Linked DNA regions of Rattus norvegicus. The protein of the gene in region 2 purifies or fractionates together with the protein of the main gene of each other region. This does not show direct contact. Links are inferred from orthologs where the notes say so. Each region holds a gene or a part of one and is shown on either strand. Other genes may lie near its edges. The genes, in order: Lamp1, Tmem192, Ctsd, Lamp2 and Acp2.

Region 1 (3,996 bases), about 54 Mb from region 2:
CAGAGGCTGGCTGTCAGAACACCTCAGTTCTCACCATCCCACCAAAAACTCCTGCTACTTAACCACTTTTGTTGGGGGCTTTCTTCTTTGCCCAGCAAGCCCTGCTTAACAAGTACTTGTGACACTTTCACTTTGTGACAAGTACTGCTTAAAGTACTTTTCAGTTAAATTACTATGGCAACCTGAAAAGGCTGTCACCATGACTCCCTCCTGCTGAGGTAGAAAGGCCCAGAGATAGTAGCTTGCTTTAGGGCATCAGAAGTGAGTGGCCCAGTTTGTTTGCTTCAGTGTGTGGCCTATTGACCACACTGCTTCTCCAGCGGGGTGAAGGACTGGCTGGGTAAGCCAGCCTGGATCACTTACACAGTGAGACCCTGTCTCCAGCCAACCACACCCTGAATTCAGTTTCCTGTCTAGTGATAATCACCTCTGAACATTTAAACAAATGGCCAAAGTTCTACTCCACACACTGCACTAGCTACCACCTCTAGAGGGATGGCTCCCTTCCTGCTGGCTAACTTCCATGGGTTAGGGCAAGCTAACAGAGTGTTGTGGGAGAAAGTGTCAAGAGTTCCTTCCTCTAGATTCAGTTCAGGACTACTCTGCAAACCTGCCACTTCATGAAAGCACCACACAATCTCATGTGTCAGGACTGGGGCTCTTAACAGAGCAAAGGAGACAGGCTATTCCCAGTGCAGGGGCCACAGTCTGTGTGTCCAATTAAAAGGTCAGGTTGGGCTGCAGAGATGGCTCAGAGGTTAGGAACACTGACTGCTCTTCCAGAGGTCCTGAGTTCAATCCTCAACAACCACATGGTGGCTCACAACCATCTGTAATGGGATCCAATGTCCAGAAATGTGTCTTAAGACAGTCATGGTGTTCTCATATACATAAACAAGTAAATCTTAAAAAGGGGGAAGGGGCAGGTCAATATGACAATGTCTGAATTGTGTCTAAGAGAACATAAATTCAAAATTACAAGGCCACTGAACAGCTTGACTAAAAATCTAATGAAGAATTCAAGGTCCCACAATCCAGGATAACACTAATTAGACCTCTCATTCTTCTAGACTGCTGTACAGGGCTCATCCAGAAAGGGGAAGGTCGGGGGGTCAGCACCAACAACTCCACCCCACTAAGCAAGCACGCTTACTAGTTTCAGTTCACACAAGGCTGTTTTCTATTAAGCACTTAAGCAGCTCGGAGGAGCTTTACCTAGGAACAATTAACAATTCCAGAGTTATAGAACTGGTTAAAGATAAAATTATTTTTGAAGTCACACATCTCAGATCTCCGTCAAAGTTGTTAAAGAACCTTCGTGAAAGCTGGGACGTAATTTATGGCATACAGCACTCAATGAGGGCCACAGATCTATCCTCTCCACTTTGATTTTGTTTGAAACAGTGTCTCACTCTGTAGCCCAGGTTAGCCTCCAATTCACAGAAATTCTCCCACATCAGCCTGCTAAGTGCTTGGATTACAAGCATAAGCCACCGTCCACTTTCCTTTCCTTTTCTTTTCTTTTTTTTTTTTTTACAGAAGGATTTCATTACCTAACTCAGGCTGACCCAAACTTAAAATCTCCCTGCCCCAGCCCCCAAGGTCTAACAAGTGTGAGCCACCATTGATTAGTTTTACTCATTCATTCTTTGTTTATTTATTTTATTTTTGCAACAGGGTCTCCAGTCCCGGCTGTCTTAGAACTCATTATGTAGACCAGAATGGCATGTTGAAGAGATCCCCCTGCCTCTCTAGCGTTGGGTTAAAGGTGTAAACCACTATGCCAGCCAGAGGGGAGTTTTAAAATCATGAAGAGGCCCAACCCAATGTCCCACAGCTTTATCCCAACCAGCATTTAGGAAGCAGAGGCAGCGAGAACCTGTGAGTTTGGGGACAGTATGTTCTACATGGTTGACACCCCCCCACTTTTTTTAAAGCATAAACATTATAAGGGTTTAAATTTTTTGGCAGTGTTGGATAACTCCTGCTATTTACCAAGCCCTGTGAACTCTCCTAATTACGCCATTCTGACACGACAGAACTTGTTTCAGCAACTCGGGTACTCGCGTTTACAACTACTGAACCGTGAAGGGTCACAGGTCCCTCAGCAAGGCTTCAGGTTTGAAACCGCCGAGTAAGCGCACCTCTCTCTTTCTCACAGAGACTAAAGAGTTCGTTTCATACAAACAGCAAAATAAAGAGGGAAAACAAATTCCATAAAGTCAGTCACAGGATTTTGGGGTCCGATGGGTCCTGACAGGTGCTCGGGAAATCGTGAACCTGTGCGCTCAGGTGATCTGGCCAACCACCCCTCTCCTGTCCTGCAGATGCTGGCACTGCAGCCAAACTCTGCGTTGCTGGGATACAGCGGCGAGGAAGGGCACCCCAGGCAGGGTCGGGGCAGCACCCATTCCTCTCACAAGGTAGCTCAAAGCCAGCAGCACTGCCTAGCAGGAGGTCCATCCCAGCTCCTACAGAGCGTCCCAGGCTGGGCCCGCACGGGCACCGAGGCGGCGAGCGCCACTGCGGAGCGGGCTGGCGGGCTCGAGGCCCACTCGACGCCTGCGGCCCGGGCACCCCCGTTCCCGCCCGGCCTGGCGCCCCGTTCCCGTCGGTCCCGAGACGCCGACCCCGCCCGGCTCTCCCTCCCTCCTGGGCTCACCCAGCAGCAACAGGAGCAGCGGCCGCCGGGCGCCCGGGGCCGCCATGGCGCGACGCAGCCGAGGCCGAAGGACGGCGGTTGCGCGGGCGGCGAGGCCGGCGGGAGGGCGCGTCCACCGACTCGAGAGGCCCGGCAGCTGCGGCGCCGGCACCGAGAAGACCCTGCGGCCGGCAGCGCCTGTCACGTGAACAGTGCCGCGCCCGCCGGTCACGTGAGCCGAGGGTCTCGCGAGAGCCCGCCGGCCTGCCGCTTACTCTCTTCTCCTGGAGTCTCCACTTGGCTCGTGATGGTGTCACGTGCCGATCGGCGTCACGTGGTCTCCAGGCCACGTGATGCTTAGCCATCCGTCCTTTTCCCGAGTGTTCTGAAATGGAAAGTAGGTTGTGGCTTTGAGAAAGGGAAGAATCACTGCGGGAGAAAGTGAGGATGGAAACAGGAAGCTGTGAAAGCTGGACCGGGCCCCATAGGCCAGCTGCATGGCACTGTTCAGGTCCAAGCCCCTGAAGGCCTGCAGCCCAGACGTAGGCTGGCATCTATGTCTAGGTCAATACATGGTCAGTGTTTACATATAAGGACAGTGTGCATATGTTTCCAGGTGGGTATTCACATCTAGATCCGTGCCCTAGTCCCAGGCTAGCCTCTACTTTCAGGCTCGCAGGCGATCTCTAGGCCCAGACTAGTGTCTAGGGCCAACCCCAAGTATATCCATGTCCCAATCGGTGGTCCAGGCAGAGGACAGTCCTGTAGGATATGTAGACGGTGGGAATGTGGGAAAGACACTTTTTAAAAAAGATTTATGTATATGAGTACACTGTCGCTGTCTTCAGACACACCGGAAGAGGGCGCCAAATGGGATTTCGGGCTGGAGAGATGGCTCAGAGGTTAAGAGCACTGACTGCTCTTTCAGAGGTCCTGAGTTCAATTCCCAGCAACCACATAGTGGCTCACACCATCTGTAATGGGATCTGAGGCCCTCTTCCGTTGTGTCTGAAGACAGCTGTAGTGTACTCATACATAAAATAATTCTAGAGAAGTAAATAGTTTCTAAAAAGAAAGATAGGATTTCAGTATCTATCCCTAACTGGCCTCAAGTTCAGATCTGCCTGCTTCTCCTTCCTGAGTGCTTGGATTTCATGTGTGGGCGCAGTGTTTTTTGAGCATTCCTGATGGTCGAAGATCATGTTGATGGGCATGAGTATTTCCATGAAGAATTCAATACTAAAATATCTCCCTCTTTTGTGAATGTAACACTCAAAATGTTTGTTGTTTTGGGTCATGGTGTCATCCTAAGACCCAGGTTGAGTTGGAACTTGTATGGGCCAGACTCTGGGCGG
Region 2 (4,048 bases):
TAAAGTGTGAGCCACCACTGCCTGGCTTGAATCATTTTCAATCAACTTATCGATCAACTTTTCTGTCTTCTTACAAATCTCTCCCCACCACAAACCTAGGACCACATGAGTGATACGCAAATGCTCTAACACTGAGCTACACCCCCAGAACCCCAAATTACTCCTTCATTTCCTTTATTTTGGCCGACAGCTCCCTAAGACCAAGGGTGACCTTAAGTTTAAGATTCCTTCCCCTTACTTCCTCAGTGCTGGGATTACAAATGTGTGCTACCATGCCTGGTTTCTGTGGTGCTAAGGACTGAGCTCAGGGATGTGTGCATGCTAAGCAAGCAAGAACTCTACCATGCTCGCCCAACCCATTTCCATGACTTATGACTGAGTTACTACCAAAGAATTCAGCTATTATTTTGGTCCCTACACTACCTCTTCATTTTCTTCCCCCAGTAACTACTTCCTTTGGGGACCTATGTCTATAGTGTATTAAGTCTTACTAGGACCCAGGTATAGTGGCTTCAGGAGGATTACCGTAAGCCAGAGGCTAGCCTGAGTCACCTAGTGTGAGCCTGTAAAAAACCAAAATTCATGTGGGATATCTTTAAATATTTCCCCTCTGCCTCTCTTGGTCTGAGGGTTGTCATACAACAAAAGATGGTTTGTAGACAGATCTCGGGTAAGGTCACAGCACCATATTCATGTCAGAGTACATACTGTGAAGGTGTGTCTCTGTTTTCAATTGTTAATTCTGTACCAGCAGAGAGCTAAATGCTAGGATTCTGGTCTTCCCATTTCTATGGCCCATTACTGGGTTTCTATTTTTGTAAATATTTGTTCTTCCTGCTCTGATCTAGAATTGTCTCTAGTTGGCTGTCATAAAGAGCTGACAGCCAGTAGTTAGGCAGGGGGTGGAGGGTGACTTTTCCAGGGGAGAAAGGGATTCTGGGAGAAGAAATCAGAGGTGAGGGATTCAGACAGCAGACAAGGGAATAAACAGAGGCGCCTGAGCTGAGCAGAGGTAGAGCTGGCCACAGCAGGACGTAGTGCCAGGATTAGTCAGGTTAGAGTAGCTAGAAGACAGCCCTCGATGAAAAGCCTAAGCTTTAAAATATTAAAAACTCAGTGTCATTATATACGAGCTAGGCCTGCTATACACTCACCCCAGTGAGGACTCTAAAATGCCTCCTATTACTTAAGACCCTTTGAGCTGCCTTTGTTTGGGTCCTTCAGAGGCCTGGGTGTTCATTTATTCAAAGCTGCAACAAGTCCTTGTCTTTATAAACGAGCCATTCATTCACTGACTCGCTTAAGCACCTGGGCTTGCAACATAGCCCATGTACAGCTCACTAAATGTGCACTTTGTTATCTACAAAATACCAAAGGCAGGCAACCTCCCTAGGTCCATAGGTTCAGCCACTTCATTGTTGGTGAAATACCCATCCCCGATTGTTTGCCGAAAGAAATATCCAGGACTGTACTTCTGAAAGATCCAAGAACTCCAGGGCAGGTTAGCACCGAGAAACACTGCTCGAGTTTTTTCTAAACCACTCATTTTCCTCTTATTTATTCCTTCCAGAAATTGTCAGTCCATGAAATCTCACTCGTAAAATTTCAAAAGCAATGCGCTATGCTTTAGATTAGTTCCATTGTTAGAAACATATTTCATGGAGAAAATTCAACTAGCTAGGTGGCAAGGTACTCCCACCATTGAGGCATTAAAATGGGCTGTCAGGGAACAGTTAGGCAAACTTAAGGCCAGGTTAGGCTATATAATGAGTACCAGGCCAGCTAGGGCTACCTAGCACATCTATAATAAGTAAATAAATGATTGCAGGACCCAAACACACAAGAATCTAAGCTCTTACAGTTCTGGAACTTTTTTTTTTTTAATGTAAGACCATGCTAATGTTTTTATTAGTTATTAGCTCAGGTCATTGTGCTAACATAATGTCAGCCTTGCATTTCTCAAGGGCAGGGCTTTTATTATGCCAATAGACAAAATAGTTTGTTCTGGAAACAAATGCAAATTTCCTCTCAAAGTGTCACCCCCCCTCTCACCTGATTTCAAATTAATCAGTGTCTTAATGAGTTCATAAACTCAAGATTTTTCCAATTGTATTATCATTCTATACTGGCTACACCGCGAAGTGGGCCACCTGGAACTTTTTTTTTTAAAGCAAGCAGGCATGCATCTAAGATTCAAACATCTTTCCGTTCCTATCATGCCTACATTCAAAACACATGATACACTTATGCTCCAATCTGCGTTTCCGGGAGATGAGAGCTACAGGTCCGCCCGAGGGAGGCTATTAGCCCAAGCACCAGTGTCACACCAGGAACCCAGTGCTCTCCAGTCGCAGCAGGAGGGCCCACATAAGCCGGGTCACCCCGGGCGTAAAAGTCCGCCTGTCAGTCTTTCCCAGGAAGGACCGATCAGGGTAGTGAGCATCACGTGAAGCTCTCATTTCCGGAACCAAAGACGCGCACTGCACGTGAGCCGCCGACTGAAGGGTCCCCCGCGCCAACCCTGCCGTGTCCCTCCGATTACACAGGAAGACGCTCCCGGAATCCGCGGTCCCCGCCCGTCGCGTCACCCCGCACCCCGCACCCCGCGTCCCCGATGGTGGAGCCGCTGCGACTCTGGGTAGCTCCCAGCCCGCTGTCTCCGCCCCCTGAGCTCAGCACAGGAAGCGGGATGGCGGCGACGGGGCTCGGCGCCTCACTCACGTCCTCCAGCCTACCGCCCGCCGCCATGACCCGCCGTCGCGGGCCGATGCCCCGCCAGCCTGACCTCTCCACCAGCGCCCCGGCGCCGAGGGCCCGGGACAGTCGCACCTACTTGGACCTGCGCGCCCCGCCCCGGACACACCCACTCTGCGCCAGCCCCGCCCCTAAGGCCACGCCCCTCGACTTAGATCAGCCGATCAGAAGCCAGGAGGAGTGTGGCCCTCCCTTCAGACTCCCGCTTTGGGTGTCGGTCTAGCCCAGGCGGTTGTTTCATCCGTTTATCAGAGATTTGGCAATTAAAAAAATGAATTTCTAGAGCAACCATTTAAACCATGTTTCGTCAACTACTCTTTAAACATTAACTTATTTCTGTTGCGTAGTTTTTGTTTGCAGCGATAGCTCTGTGTTCGGAAAAAGACGCAGTAAAAATTGTAATTCCACCTGTAGAGGGACTGACCTAGAATAGATTCTAATTTGTATAACAAATTTACAGTTGTCTCCACAGGAAATTCCTGTAGCTTTTGTTGTTCTTGTTGTTTTTGTTGTTGTTGTTGTTTTTTTAGGTATTCTGTTTCTGTTTTTTCTTTCCCCATCTCTTTTTCTGTCCTTTGATTATTTTTGGTTTCAGTTTTGCTTTTTGAGACAGGGTTTCTCTACATAGCTCTGCTGTTCTGAAACTCACTATGTAGACCAAGATGGCCTTGAACCCTCAGAGATTCACCTGTCTTTGTCTCCTCTAGTGGAGTGCTCAAATTAAAGGCTTGTGTCACCACTATGTGAATCCCGGGCTTGGTAGCAAAAGCCATTGGTTAGTCCTCATTTTTTTTTTTTAAATTAAAACAAGGTCTCAAGTAGCTTACGCTGACCTAGAAATTGATGTGCGCTGAAACTGACTTTCAGTTCCTGATCCCCTTGCCTTTGCACAGTGAAATCTGGCATTGTTAGTACACACCACCCACCTGACAAGTTGTTTTGTACATACAAAGTATTTTAAAATTGTTTTTATTTTATGTGTTTCAGTGTTTTATTTGCATGGGGGGCTGTGCACTGTGTGCATGCCTGTTGCCCAGGGAGGCCATAGGAGCTATTGGATCCTCTGACACTAGAGTTTGACAGTTGTTTTTGGGAATCAAACCCAGGTCCTTTGGAAGAATGGTTAGTGTATCTAAGTAGCACTGAGGCATCTCTGCAGCCCAAGTTTTAACACACACACACACACACACACACACACACACACACACACACACTGAATCGTACTGGGGAACTGGGTGTGGTAGCACACACCTGTAGTCTCAGGACTTAGAAGAGGCAGAAGGATCATGAGTTC
Region 3 (3,516 bases), on a different chromosome or scaffold from region 2:
AGGAGAAACGAACTGATAAACCACAACCGAGACTATCGGATCCTAGCTTATGTGAACTCCAGCTTATCAGTCACACCAGATGTGACAACCCCTCACCTGGGATTACCAAGGGACAACCTAAGGCTGAAACGCAGCAAGCCTACTGATGAGCCTGATCCAGGAATTCTTTCCTTGGCAAAGAACCCTTGGTTCTGTCCCCAGGCTGTAGGCTCAAACAGATTCTCCTGCCTTTGAACTCAGTGCACTTCCAAAGTGACCCTGTCACCAAAACCTGCGACTGACATTTCTGTGTCTGTGACTGACTTCTTCTGTGGTTCCCTATTCTTCCTGTGTTTGTTTCAGCTTTCTACTTCTGATTTCTATACACCCTCCCTGGGCCCTGCAGCCCTTTCTTAGCTAGTCTGGAACCTGACCCTATATACAGGCAATATTGTGTGAAGGGTGGTAACATGTGACCTGCTGGTGTTTTTAATTAAGATCTGAATATAACTGGCTGGAGAGACGGCTCAGTGGCTAAGAGAGCTTGCTGCTCTTACAGAGGACTGAGTTCACTTCCCAGCTCCTGGGAATCCATCACCCTCTTCCTGGCCTCCACTGGCAACTGCACACACACGAATATACCCCCACACAGACACACATTAAAAAAAAAATCAGAATAAAGAAATCCATGATACCAACGGTTGGCTACCAAGTAAATTTGGGGTTACTTGGCAAATTGGAGTAAATGCATTTATTTAGCATGTGAATTTAGAGTTACTCAATAAATTCTAACACTGCTGAAAGACAGAAACATGCCCATTTATGTTTCTGACATGACACATTCATGTTGCCCTGCCTGGCCAGAGATAAGCCTAGGGCTCAGCCAGCCTAGGGCTCAGATCCTAAGCTAAGTTCCCGTTTCTGCATCTGCTGCCCTGCTGAGCAACCTTGATCCTACAGGTATAGGAAGACTCACAGAGAAGAGGAAAGTGGAGCCTGTCACCCCAGGGAGGGGCTTCCAGCCCAGTCCCACATAAGCTGCTGGGTACAGCTGGCCCTTCTCTGCAGGATGCTGGCTGCAGGTGTTCAGGGTCAGTCACTGGTAGCCAAGGCCAAGGCTCAGTCAGGCTGGAGCTGAAGAACAGGGATGCCTTCTCTGCCTGGCAAAATTCAAGGCGGGCTTCTAAGAGGAAGCCAGGGCCATGGTCCTGAGAGGCTGAGCAGGCTTCAGCCATGGATGTAGCACTTGCTATCACTCTTTCTCCTCCAAACCCTTCTCTCAACTCCCCCCACCTCTAGTCTCATGGGAATGCCCACCATACCCTCAAACAGAACACAGGGAGCGCAGTCTACAGCCACAACACTGAGTGCTCTCAGGCAGTCAGCAAGTAAGTATAAGCTTGTCCCCTCCAACCTCGGGGGTCCGGGGAACATGAATGTCACCCGGCTAGGCATCACTCTGGGGCACAATTACCCAAAGTTAAAGGGAAGTTGCCATCCTGCCAGGCCTTCCTAATCAGGTTCCACATCTTCCTCCTGGCCCGTGGATCCCCAAGCCTCACCCTGTTCTCCTACCCAAGTCTCCACCCTGGCCTGGCTTTGGCTTGTCATTGCCTCTGAAATCCTAGGTGGAAACACGATGGATACCGGCCCTGCCTCTCCTCTTCTCGCCGACGTTCCACCCACACTGCCTGATCACTCTGCTGGTTTTACACCCGCCTACTCAGTAGCCACACCTCTGGGTCACCAGCCTGAAACCCAGCTGGCACAGTAAGTACCCTGGGGCCCAGGCTGTAGCTACCACATCCATTCCTAGTTGCTGAGCCTGGGAGGGCTCCTCCTAAAAGACAGGCACCAGCAAGGGAAGATGGGTATATTGAGATCCTAGAACAGAGACTTAAGACTTATAGGCCAAGTGGTATTTGTGGGCCCCTAAGGCACCATGGGACTGAGATAAGACAGACGTCTCCAGGCTTCGACTTGGCCAACTTGTTTTTGTTTTCTGAGACAGTGTCTCTTGATGTAGTTCTCTGGCTGTCCTTGAACTCACAGAGATCCTCCTGCTTCTGCCTCTTGAGTGTTGGGATTAAAAGCATGTGCTGCTATGCCCAGCCTGTCTAACTTTGGGGCACCCACCTACTCTAGGAAGCAGAGCCCAGAAGTCAATGACCCTGTCCACTGATCCATGCCCCTGCCTCTAGGGAAGCCACTGTGCCCAGAGTGAACTGGGTAGTCACCATTTAAACAAGGGACAGAAATAGACAGGGAAAAGTAAAACTAGAAGATTCTGGGCTGGCACGGGGCCAGTGCCCATCAATAAGGGTTAGGGTTCAGACCTACAAATAGAGTATGGAGGTTACCCTTGCTAGACATGCAAGTAAGTCAGCCCAGAGAAGGAGGGTGTGGTCGGCAGCGCAACTTGGAGTAGGAAGGAGGCTACCTACTTACACCCCACCCACACCCAGGAGCTAAACCTAGCAAGAGAGGAGCCCCATATACCCAGCTGCCCATCTTGTGAAGTTCCTGAACAAGACTGTTGGACAGGCTTGCAGGAGGCAGGAGACTGGAAGGCTGGAAGCTCCCTGCAAGGGGGTGGGTGTGTACATGTCCGTGTGCGTGTGTGTAGGATCTCTGCTAACAGAAAGGTCCCCAATCTCTCAGGGAGAGACAACTCCCTCCCCCAAGGCCACTCTCAATGTATAACCCAGGGCTCTCAGACCTCCCCAGTGACTTCTGATTCTGCCCTAGGAAAGGTTCCCGGACCCTGTCCCCAGAGGAGTGTCACAGATCAAAGCTCATACCCATGTCTCTCCTAGCGACTAGCAGCCCAAGCAGAGACTACATCTGCTCTTACCAGTGCCTGGGTCCTGACCCAGCAGCTGAGACTCTGATCCAGGCAACCAGCATCTCCTGGCTAAAGTCCCTGGCACATGGCTTTCTCTCCCAAGCAGGTAACAGTAACTAACTCCTGCCTACCCGATCCCCTTAGGTCTGATGCCATGGCCAAGCCTTCAGCACAGGCTCTCAAGTCCCAGCTGTATCTTTCACCCTGGAGCTGAGCTCCAGGGAGGATGAGAGCCACGCCTCTCCTACTGCACCTGTTCAGGTAGAAGGAGAAGATGTTCTTTTCCACCAGCTTCTGTTTCATCAGGTTGTCGAAGACCGGGAGCACATTGTTAACAGAGATAAAAGGGTAGCCCATGCCCAAGATGCCATCAAACTTGGCTGCGATGAATACGACTCCAGGCTGCTTGGTGGCTTCCCCAAAGATCTGTTTCTCCACCTTGATACCTCCTAAGTCTGACTTACATGGAACCTGAAAGCCAGAGCAGATACGTCACAGCTGACATTCTCCCTCAGGACAGTCAAAAAAGCAGAACTCGTACAGAAGTGCTTGACATAGCCACACAGCTGAAGACAAGGACACAGGGTTCCTCTCTGAGGGACTTATGAGGACTTCGTGTTAACCAGGCACGAGAAGCAGGAGGGAGGTGCTTCTGCCTCAGCTCTCACCTTGCCTATGCCTTTCCATATCTA
Region 4 (3,516 bases), on a different chromosome or scaffold from region 2:
TGTCCACAGAAGCCAGAGAGGTGTGACATCCCCATGAGACTGGAGTTACAGGGATTTTTGGCCACTAAATGGGTGCCAAGAACTGAATGTGCTTATTCTGGTATAGCTGCCGGCGTGCTATACCACGAAGTTATCCGTCCAGTCACTGCTTTCTGATTTTTTTTGTAACCCTCATGTTTTGTCTTCCCTATGCCTACAGTTCCAGTCACAGTGAATTTGTCATTCCTGTCAATGCTCCACAGTTTATTACTTTTGGCATGGCAAGGCCTAGAAGGAAAGAAAGGCTGTATTTATGTTAATGTAAATATATTAGCAGTTTCTCATGTCTTCCTGGAAATGCCATTGTTCACCTTGTTTCATAGGAATCCTTACTGTTATCATTCCTGTGGGATCCCAGCTTCCATTGGGTGTCATCTTTAAGTGCAGTAGTGTTTTAACTTTCAACCTGAGTCCTGTTGTTCAGCACTATTGGGGCATTCACCTGCAAGCTTTTGTCCAAAATGGTACAGTGAGTAAACATGGTGAGTTTGTTTTTGTTTGTTTGTTTGTTTGTTTGTTTGTTTCTTTCTTTTTTTTTTGACAGTATTTCTCCATGAAACAACCCAGGCTGTCCTGTAACTCTGTAGACCAGGCTGGCCTCGAACTCCCAGAGATCTGCCTGCTTCTGCTTCCCTAGTGCTGGCATTAAACACATTTTTCCCCAGTTCCTGACCAAAAACCATGAGACCGTAAAGTATAAATTTATATATGTGGCTCTTATTTTAAGGGCAGATTACATCAGGTACCATTCATTGAGATCATCGTCTGAGAACATTTCTTAAGGTGCAGACTAAATATTTTTAAAGTTATTTTTCTTTTTCTCTTCTTTCTTTCTTTTTTCTTTTTCTTTTTCTTTTTCGCAAGACAGGGTTTCTCTATGTAGTCTTGGCCATCCAGAACTCGCTCTGTAGATCAGGCTGGCCTCACATGTCAGAGATCCACCTGCCTGTGCCTCTGCATCCTGGGATCAAAGATGTGAACTAGGATCAAAGCATAGGCTTAAAGTGATAGCCATTTTTAGTGATAATTTCAGTTGAAAGCTTATGATGCATGGAAACGTTTTGTTTGTAGTATGCAGTATGTGTGTGTGTGTGTGTGTGTGTGTGTGTGTGTGTGTGTGTGAGAGAGAGAGAGAGAGAGAGAGAGAGAGATATTAAGAGAATGATTGTATGCACTAGAGGCCCCCAGTGAACCATTTAATGAAAATGTAAAATTTCACATTCATTACTAGAAAACTACTAATACTTCCTAAGAAGGAATTTTAATTCCCATAACCTACTATAGGAGTGATAGAAATAAAAGGTTCCTTTGAATTTAAACCCTTCAACGATTTCCAAGCTAGTTTTAGTAAGCACTTCTTCACAGTGGTTGTTGTGTTTGAAGGAAAAAGACTTTTTAGCTTGGAGGAGGGGGGCGTTGTTTTTAGACTTGGCTCTGAATTTCTCATCAGATCAGAGACAGGTGAAATTCTTTGAAATAAAGACCTTTGCGAGTGCAAGAAAGAAGAGTATGTGGCTTTACTTGAGTAGCTATAACTTTTGATATGTTTTGAGTTTGTTTACTCTGGTTATAACTCATAAGAAATTATCTGTCTATTAAACAGTACTTTAGGAACCTCTGCTTCATCCACTTTAAAAATATACCACCAAGGTCTTCTTTTGCCCTAATTAACCCTCTTGGACTGTGAGAACCTGACTTGGAGAAGTAGTTTGTTCTCTTCCCTGGCCCAGTAAAGCAAGATCACCCTAGCTTATTTTGTCCTTTGTTTTAGAACAAGTGTGTAAGGAGGACAAAACTGCTACCACTGTAGCACCCATCATTCACACCACCGTGCCATCGCCTACTACGACACTCACTCCAACTTCAATACCCGTTCCAACTCCAACGGTTGGAAACTACACCATTTCTAATGGCAATGCTACCTGTCTGCTGGCTACCATGGGGCTGCAGCTGAACATCACCGAGGAGAAGGTAGGGTTTAGTGAAACCTTTTTTTGTAATGTATAGCGTACCATGCACTTAAGAACTAGACTGACTCAAGTTTAAATGCACAGTTTGTGTTGAGTTTTGAATAGTTTGGAAAGACGATATCCGTGAATAGTTAATATCACCATCAAGGCATCTTGGCCAGCAGAGAACCTGCCAATTTATTTAAAGACTTCTTTACAAGCTTAGATTTTATAAGCCTTCAGTAGAGGCTCAGCATATGTAGTTAAGTTAGAGATGGAGTAAAGTTCAGGGGTAGAGCACTTGCATCCCATGCACAAGGTTTGGGTACCATTCCAACACTGCCAAAAGTGAAAAATCAAACTGTAGCCTATTCAGCCTCTTGTTTGAACCACACTGTAGGTTGGTGCAAGGCTATTTGATGAGTCAGACAGAGGAGTTAGGCCCAAGTACTTGTCGAGTTGCAATACCTCATTCGGACAGCAGAGGGCGCGCCAGTGAACAAATCCCATTTTTCTATGATTGAAACAAGCCAGACAGATGGTTCTTGTGCTCTAAAAAAAAAAAAAAAAATGTGTTTTCATTTTGGCTCATTACTGAGGAAACTTCCCTCTTCTTATTGTTGTTGTTGAAGTCGGCTGAGTCATAGCTTGAAGGCTTGTGTCAAGTTTTCTTGAAAGTAAGACAACAAGCATTCTACATTAAAAGACAACAAGCAGTCTACATTAAAAGAGGTTGTGCTGTACTTTGGTTTTATCAGTGTAATGGGCTTTGGTGTTGACTTTTACAGTTAATCTGCACCTTCCTTCTTTATTCTCCTGAAGGTGCCTTTCATTTTTAACATCAACCCTGCCATAACCAACTTCACCGGCAGCTGTCAGCCCCAAACAGCTCAACTTAGGCTGAACAACAGCCAAATTAAGTATCTCGACTTTATCTTTGCTGTGGTGAGTACTGACTGTTTGCTAAAGCTAAGTTCTTTCTCTGAGAAGTGCCCCTGCAAGTCTCCAGAGTGGTAGGTGTATGCCAGGGTGGGGGCGGGGTGATATTCGGTTTACTTATCCCTGCTCATCTCTGAGTCAGCTGGACTATCTATGGGCTGGGCTCTTGTATTAATAATTATAGAAAGTGGCTATTGTACTATTATATGTACTTCAGTGTAGAAACACGAATGAACTCACATAAAAAGAAAACTAAGTATAGTTTTTATACTATTTTCTCTTATTAGACAATTCTCATGCTAACACAAAATTTTACATATTTTATAGTTATATTCTTCTTATAAAGATACATTTATTATGTACATTGGTGTTTTGCCTATATGTATTTGTGAGTGAAGGTGCCACATGCCATGGAATCACAGAGAGCTGTGAGCTGCCATGTGGGTGTGGGGAATTGAACCTGGGTCCTTGAAGAGCCACCAGTGCTCCCAATTGCTAAGTCATCTCTTTAGCCCCATTAACATTCTTTATAGTAGTGTCTGTACTAGTAATAGCTAGCATTAAATAAGCATTGTTAGCTGTCTGTTTC
Region 5 (3,229 bases), on a different chromosome or scaffold from region 2:
TTCTTCTAGGTTATCATATTCTCATTTGGAGCCCAGAGGAAGATGGGTCATTGAAAGACCATGAAAGACTATGAAGATGGTGTGGGACAGCAACACCTGACCCTGCCTATGGGAGCAGGTTCTGTGAGAGAAGTGGTAGCTGTTTGTTCACAGGCCAGAAGTACCCAACTCTCAGTGTGGGAGTAGGGGTGCTGGTGGCATGGGATACTGTATGGAACTAGGATACTGACATGTTACTGCTCTAGATTTTGCTTCAGAAAATTAAAGAGTAAACCAGCTACCCTCAGGGTCCCTGCTGTGTCTAGCCTGGAGACCAAGTTCATGCTAGAGCCAAGGTACTTTCCTTTTTTCTGATGTATAGTAGCAGAATAACCAGGGAATTTTTAAATTTTTATGTTCATTTTGACATAACCAATAAAAGCATATCTTTTGTATTGAGACCTAGTACTGACCTGGTAAGAGTGCTTCTTGGATGTCAGAAATGGGGAAGGAAAAAAAAAGGCACAGAACCAGCACTCAGTCAAAACCTTCATTTCCTCGGAGTTACTTCAGCTCTGTTTCGGGCCACAGTCAAGGTGTACAGTTCACCAGCTGCATTTACTTCAAGTCCCTGAAGAGTCCAGCCCAGCTGAGGGAGAGTCACGTCATGATTCCATGTGTTTCACTCCTGTGTCCTCCCACTGTCATCCAGGTGCAGCACCAGTGTCCTTCAACCTGCCTGAGGTTGACACTGACGGCAGCCTCAGTCAGAGGGAAACTTTGCTGTTGGGTGATCCATATAAAATGAGCCATTTATATGAACTGCAAAAGTACCAAGGGACAATGTCCTCCAAGCCATTTGCCAAAGATATGGGCTAGAAGACAAAGAGCAAGGCTTGGGGGAAGAGCTAGACAGATCAAGTACCAGCTTCTTCAGGGTTTGGGGTTTTTTTTCTGTTGTTGTTTTGTTTTTTTAATCCCAGGTCTTGAGTAAAACCTGAATGCTTGTCTGTATCTCAAGTCCTTAGGGAGTATAGAAGAGGCAAATCCCATTTAGAGAAAGCCAGTGTCCAACACAGTACATGGTAAACATCAGGCATGAGGATGGTAAGTCACAGGTGACGTGCGACCAGCCCAGCCTCACTCATTCATTTGGGCGTAGGTAATCAGGAAGGCTAAACCTGTCCCTGGGCTGGGATCGGCAATAGTCAGGAGCAAGGACTCAGCCCACATCCCCTAGGAGGCAGAGGGAAGGGGACTGAGTGGTTGTCAAGCATGGTCTTCCCTGTCTGCAACATGGTGGTAGCCAGGAGGCTGGGCCTGCATCCGGAAGAGGACAGTGAGGAGCAACACTATTAGAAGGAAGAGGATGGAGCCACAGACAGCCAGTGCCACAATCACCTCTGGACAGGGGAGAGGAAAAGAAAGTAACATTAGTATTCATCCAACAAATAACAGAGCACCTACCCCAAGCCAGGTACTGTGTTGACAAAACAGGGAAATAGGGGGCTGGGGATTTAGCTCAGTGGTAGAGCGCTTACCTAGGAAGCGCAAGGCCCTGGGTTCGGTCCCCAGCTCCGAAAAAAAGAACCAAAAAAAAAAAAAAAACAAAAAAAAAACAGGGAAATAGAAAGGTGGTCGAGGCAGTCTGCTCTTAGAACGAGCAAGCATTTCACGGGAATGACACATCAGTGATGCTCTATGGACAAGATACATTAGAAATCACTGAGGAAATAGGACCAGACCTGGGGGTCAGGAAGTAAAACAGATGAGAGTAGAGTGTCATGGAGTGGGGGTAGGAGGACACATCTGATAGAACAGGCTTGGTGTGCTGGATTCAGCAAGAGTATCACAGAGTAAGCAAGGGGCACTAGGAACCAGAAGACATCCAAGTCAAGCAGAGGCAGGGCAGTCACGATAGAGAACCTGGGTCTTTGTGTGTGATTAATATATATGCACATTTAAAAAAAACATGGTCTCATATAGCCCAGGCTGTCTCAAAATTGACTATATAGTAGAGGATGACCTTGACCTATCCTCCTTCCCCCTTCTGAGTGCTGGAATTAGAGGTGTACACTACCACACCCAGTTCATGCAGTGCCAGGAGTTAAACTAAGCGGTTTTTCCCATAGTTTGGTTGGTAGAGTGAGTACCCTATCAACTGGGTTATACACCTAGCCTCAAGTTATATTTCTAAAGAAATTAACTTTGCTGTCTGGAGACTGGTAGGGACAAGAATGGAACCAGAATGAACGTTAGGCTTGTGAGCGGCTCAGGCAAGAACTGCTAATGACTGGAGAGGCGAGAGCTCAGCATCTGAGAAGCATAGAATCTGCCGGTGGACTGGGTGTGGGCTATGAGGAAGAGAATGCCTAATGGTACACTGTGTGACCGTGAGACTAATGCAGCATCTATTAAGTTGACAGCTGTGGGCTGGAGAGATGGCTCAGCGGTTAAGAGCACTGGCTGCTCTTCCAGAGGTCCTGAGTTCAATCCCCAGCAACCACATAGAGGCTCACAACCATCTGTAATGGGATCTGATGCCCTCTTCTGGGGTGTCTGAGGACAGCAACAGTGCACTCATAGGTGAACTAAATCTTTAAATTGACAGCTGTAAAATGAACAAGTAGATCTGAGAAGAGATGCTGGTTCAGACACAATGCCTCATGTGACATCCATGTAGAGAGGTTTCAAGTCAGTAGCTGGGGGAAAGCCTAGCTCAGAAGTTATAAATCGGGGTTGGGGATTTAGCTCAGTGGTAGAGCGCTTGCCTAGGAAGCACAAGGCCCTGGGTTCGGTCCCCAGCTCCGAAAATAAAGAACCAAAAAAAAAAAAAAAAAGAAGTTATAAATCAAAGTCATATTACAAAAGTGGAACTTAACTTACCATGAAGATGAGGTAGGAAAGCCATGAGGTTGATGAGATCCCTTGGGAGTCAGGACAGATAGGAAAGGGGATAGGGATAAGCCTCAGGCCATTCATTATTTAGAGAAGAGGGAAAACGGTAAGGAATTTGTAGTAAGTAAAAAACTGAAGTCATGAAAACGGTTGTTACTGTTGCAGTGCGGTGGTCGGGGAGGGAATCTAGGGCTTCACACATGCTAGCCATGGATTCTACCACTGGGCTATGTCCACAACACTAAAAAAAATGTGTTTAAGGAAGAAATGGCAACTGGGCTGCTGAGGTGAGAGAAGCTGACTAAGAATTGATGATCTTGATAACAGCTTCATTGCAGCAAAAGGTGATACA

What was found.
Region 1: the proteins of Tmem192 (region 2) and Lamp1 purify together in Homo sapiens (affinity purification with mass spectrometry; 3 studies listed by BioGRID and IntAct, with this or other methods). This does not show direct contact. The link is inferred for Rattus norvegicus from reciprocal best matches to the Homo sapiens genes TMEM192 and LAMP1.
Region 3: the proteins of Tmem192 (region 2) and Ctsd purify together in Homo sapiens (affinity purification with western blotting; 3 studies listed by BioGRID, with this or other methods). This does not show direct contact. The link is inferred for Rattus norvegicus from reciprocal best matches to the Homo sapiens genes TMEM192 and CTSD.
Region 4: the proteins of Tmem192 (region 2) and Lamp2 purify together in Homo sapiens (affinity purification with western blotting; 5 studies listed by BioGRID and IntAct, with this or other methods). This does not show direct contact. The link is inferred for Rattus norvegicus from reciprocal best matches to the Homo sapiens genes TMEM192 and LAMP2.
Region 5: the proteins of Tmem192 (region 2) and Acp2 purify together in Homo sapiens (affinity purification with mass spectrometry; 3 studies listed by BioGRID and IntAct, with this or other methods). This does not show direct contact. The link is inferred for Rattus norvegicus from reciprocal best matches to the Homo sapiens genes TMEM192 and ACP2.

Annotation. Positions count from the first base shown.
Region 1 is NC_086034.1:83,072,253-83,076,248, forward strand, and holds the start of Lamp1 (lysosome-associated membrane glycoprotein 1 precursor), read right to left. Parts: upstream 2,812-3,996; 5' UTR 2,709-2,811; coding exon 2,663-2,708; intron 2,657-2,662; exon of another isoform or gene 64-2,656; intron 1-63. UniProt on the Homo sapiens protein: Lysosomal membrane glycoprotein which plays an important role in lysosome biogenesis, lysosomal pH regulation, autophagy and cholesterol homeostasis.
Region 2 is NC_086034.1:29,524,676-29,528,723, forward strand, and holds the start of Tmem192 (transmembrane protein 192), read right to left. Parts: upstream 2,810-4,048; 5' UTR 2,749-2,809; coding exon 2,722-2,748; intron 1-2,721.
Region 3 is NC_086019.1:206,958,818-206,962,333, forward strand, and holds part of Ctsd (cathepsin D precursor), read right to left. Parts: intron 3,296-3,516; coding exon 3,078-3,295; intron 1-3,077. UniProt on the Homo sapiens protein: Acid protease active in intracellular protein breakdown. Plays a role in APP processing following cleavage and activation by ADAM30 which leads to APP degradation.
Region 4 is NC_086039.1:122,063,660-122,067,175, reverse strand, and holds part of Lamp2 (lysosome-associated membrane glycoprotein 2 precursor), read left to right. Parts: intron 1-362; coding exon 363-521; intron 522-1,810; coding exon 1,811-2,010; intron 2,011-2,810; coding exon 2,811-2,933; intron 2,934-3,516. UniProt on the Homo sapiens protein: Lysosomal membrane glycoprotein which plays an important role in lysosome biogenesis, lysosomal pH regulation and autophagy.
Region 5 is NC_086021.1:97,638,138-97,641,366, reverse strand, and holds the end of Acp2 (lysosomal acid phosphatase isoform 1 precursor), read right to left. Parts: intron 1,383-3,229; coding exon 1,249-1,382; coding exon of another isoform or gene 1,216-1,248; 3' UTR 516-1,215; downstream 1-515. Other genes in the region: Ddb2 (DNA damage-binding protein 2), read left to right, coding at 10-74.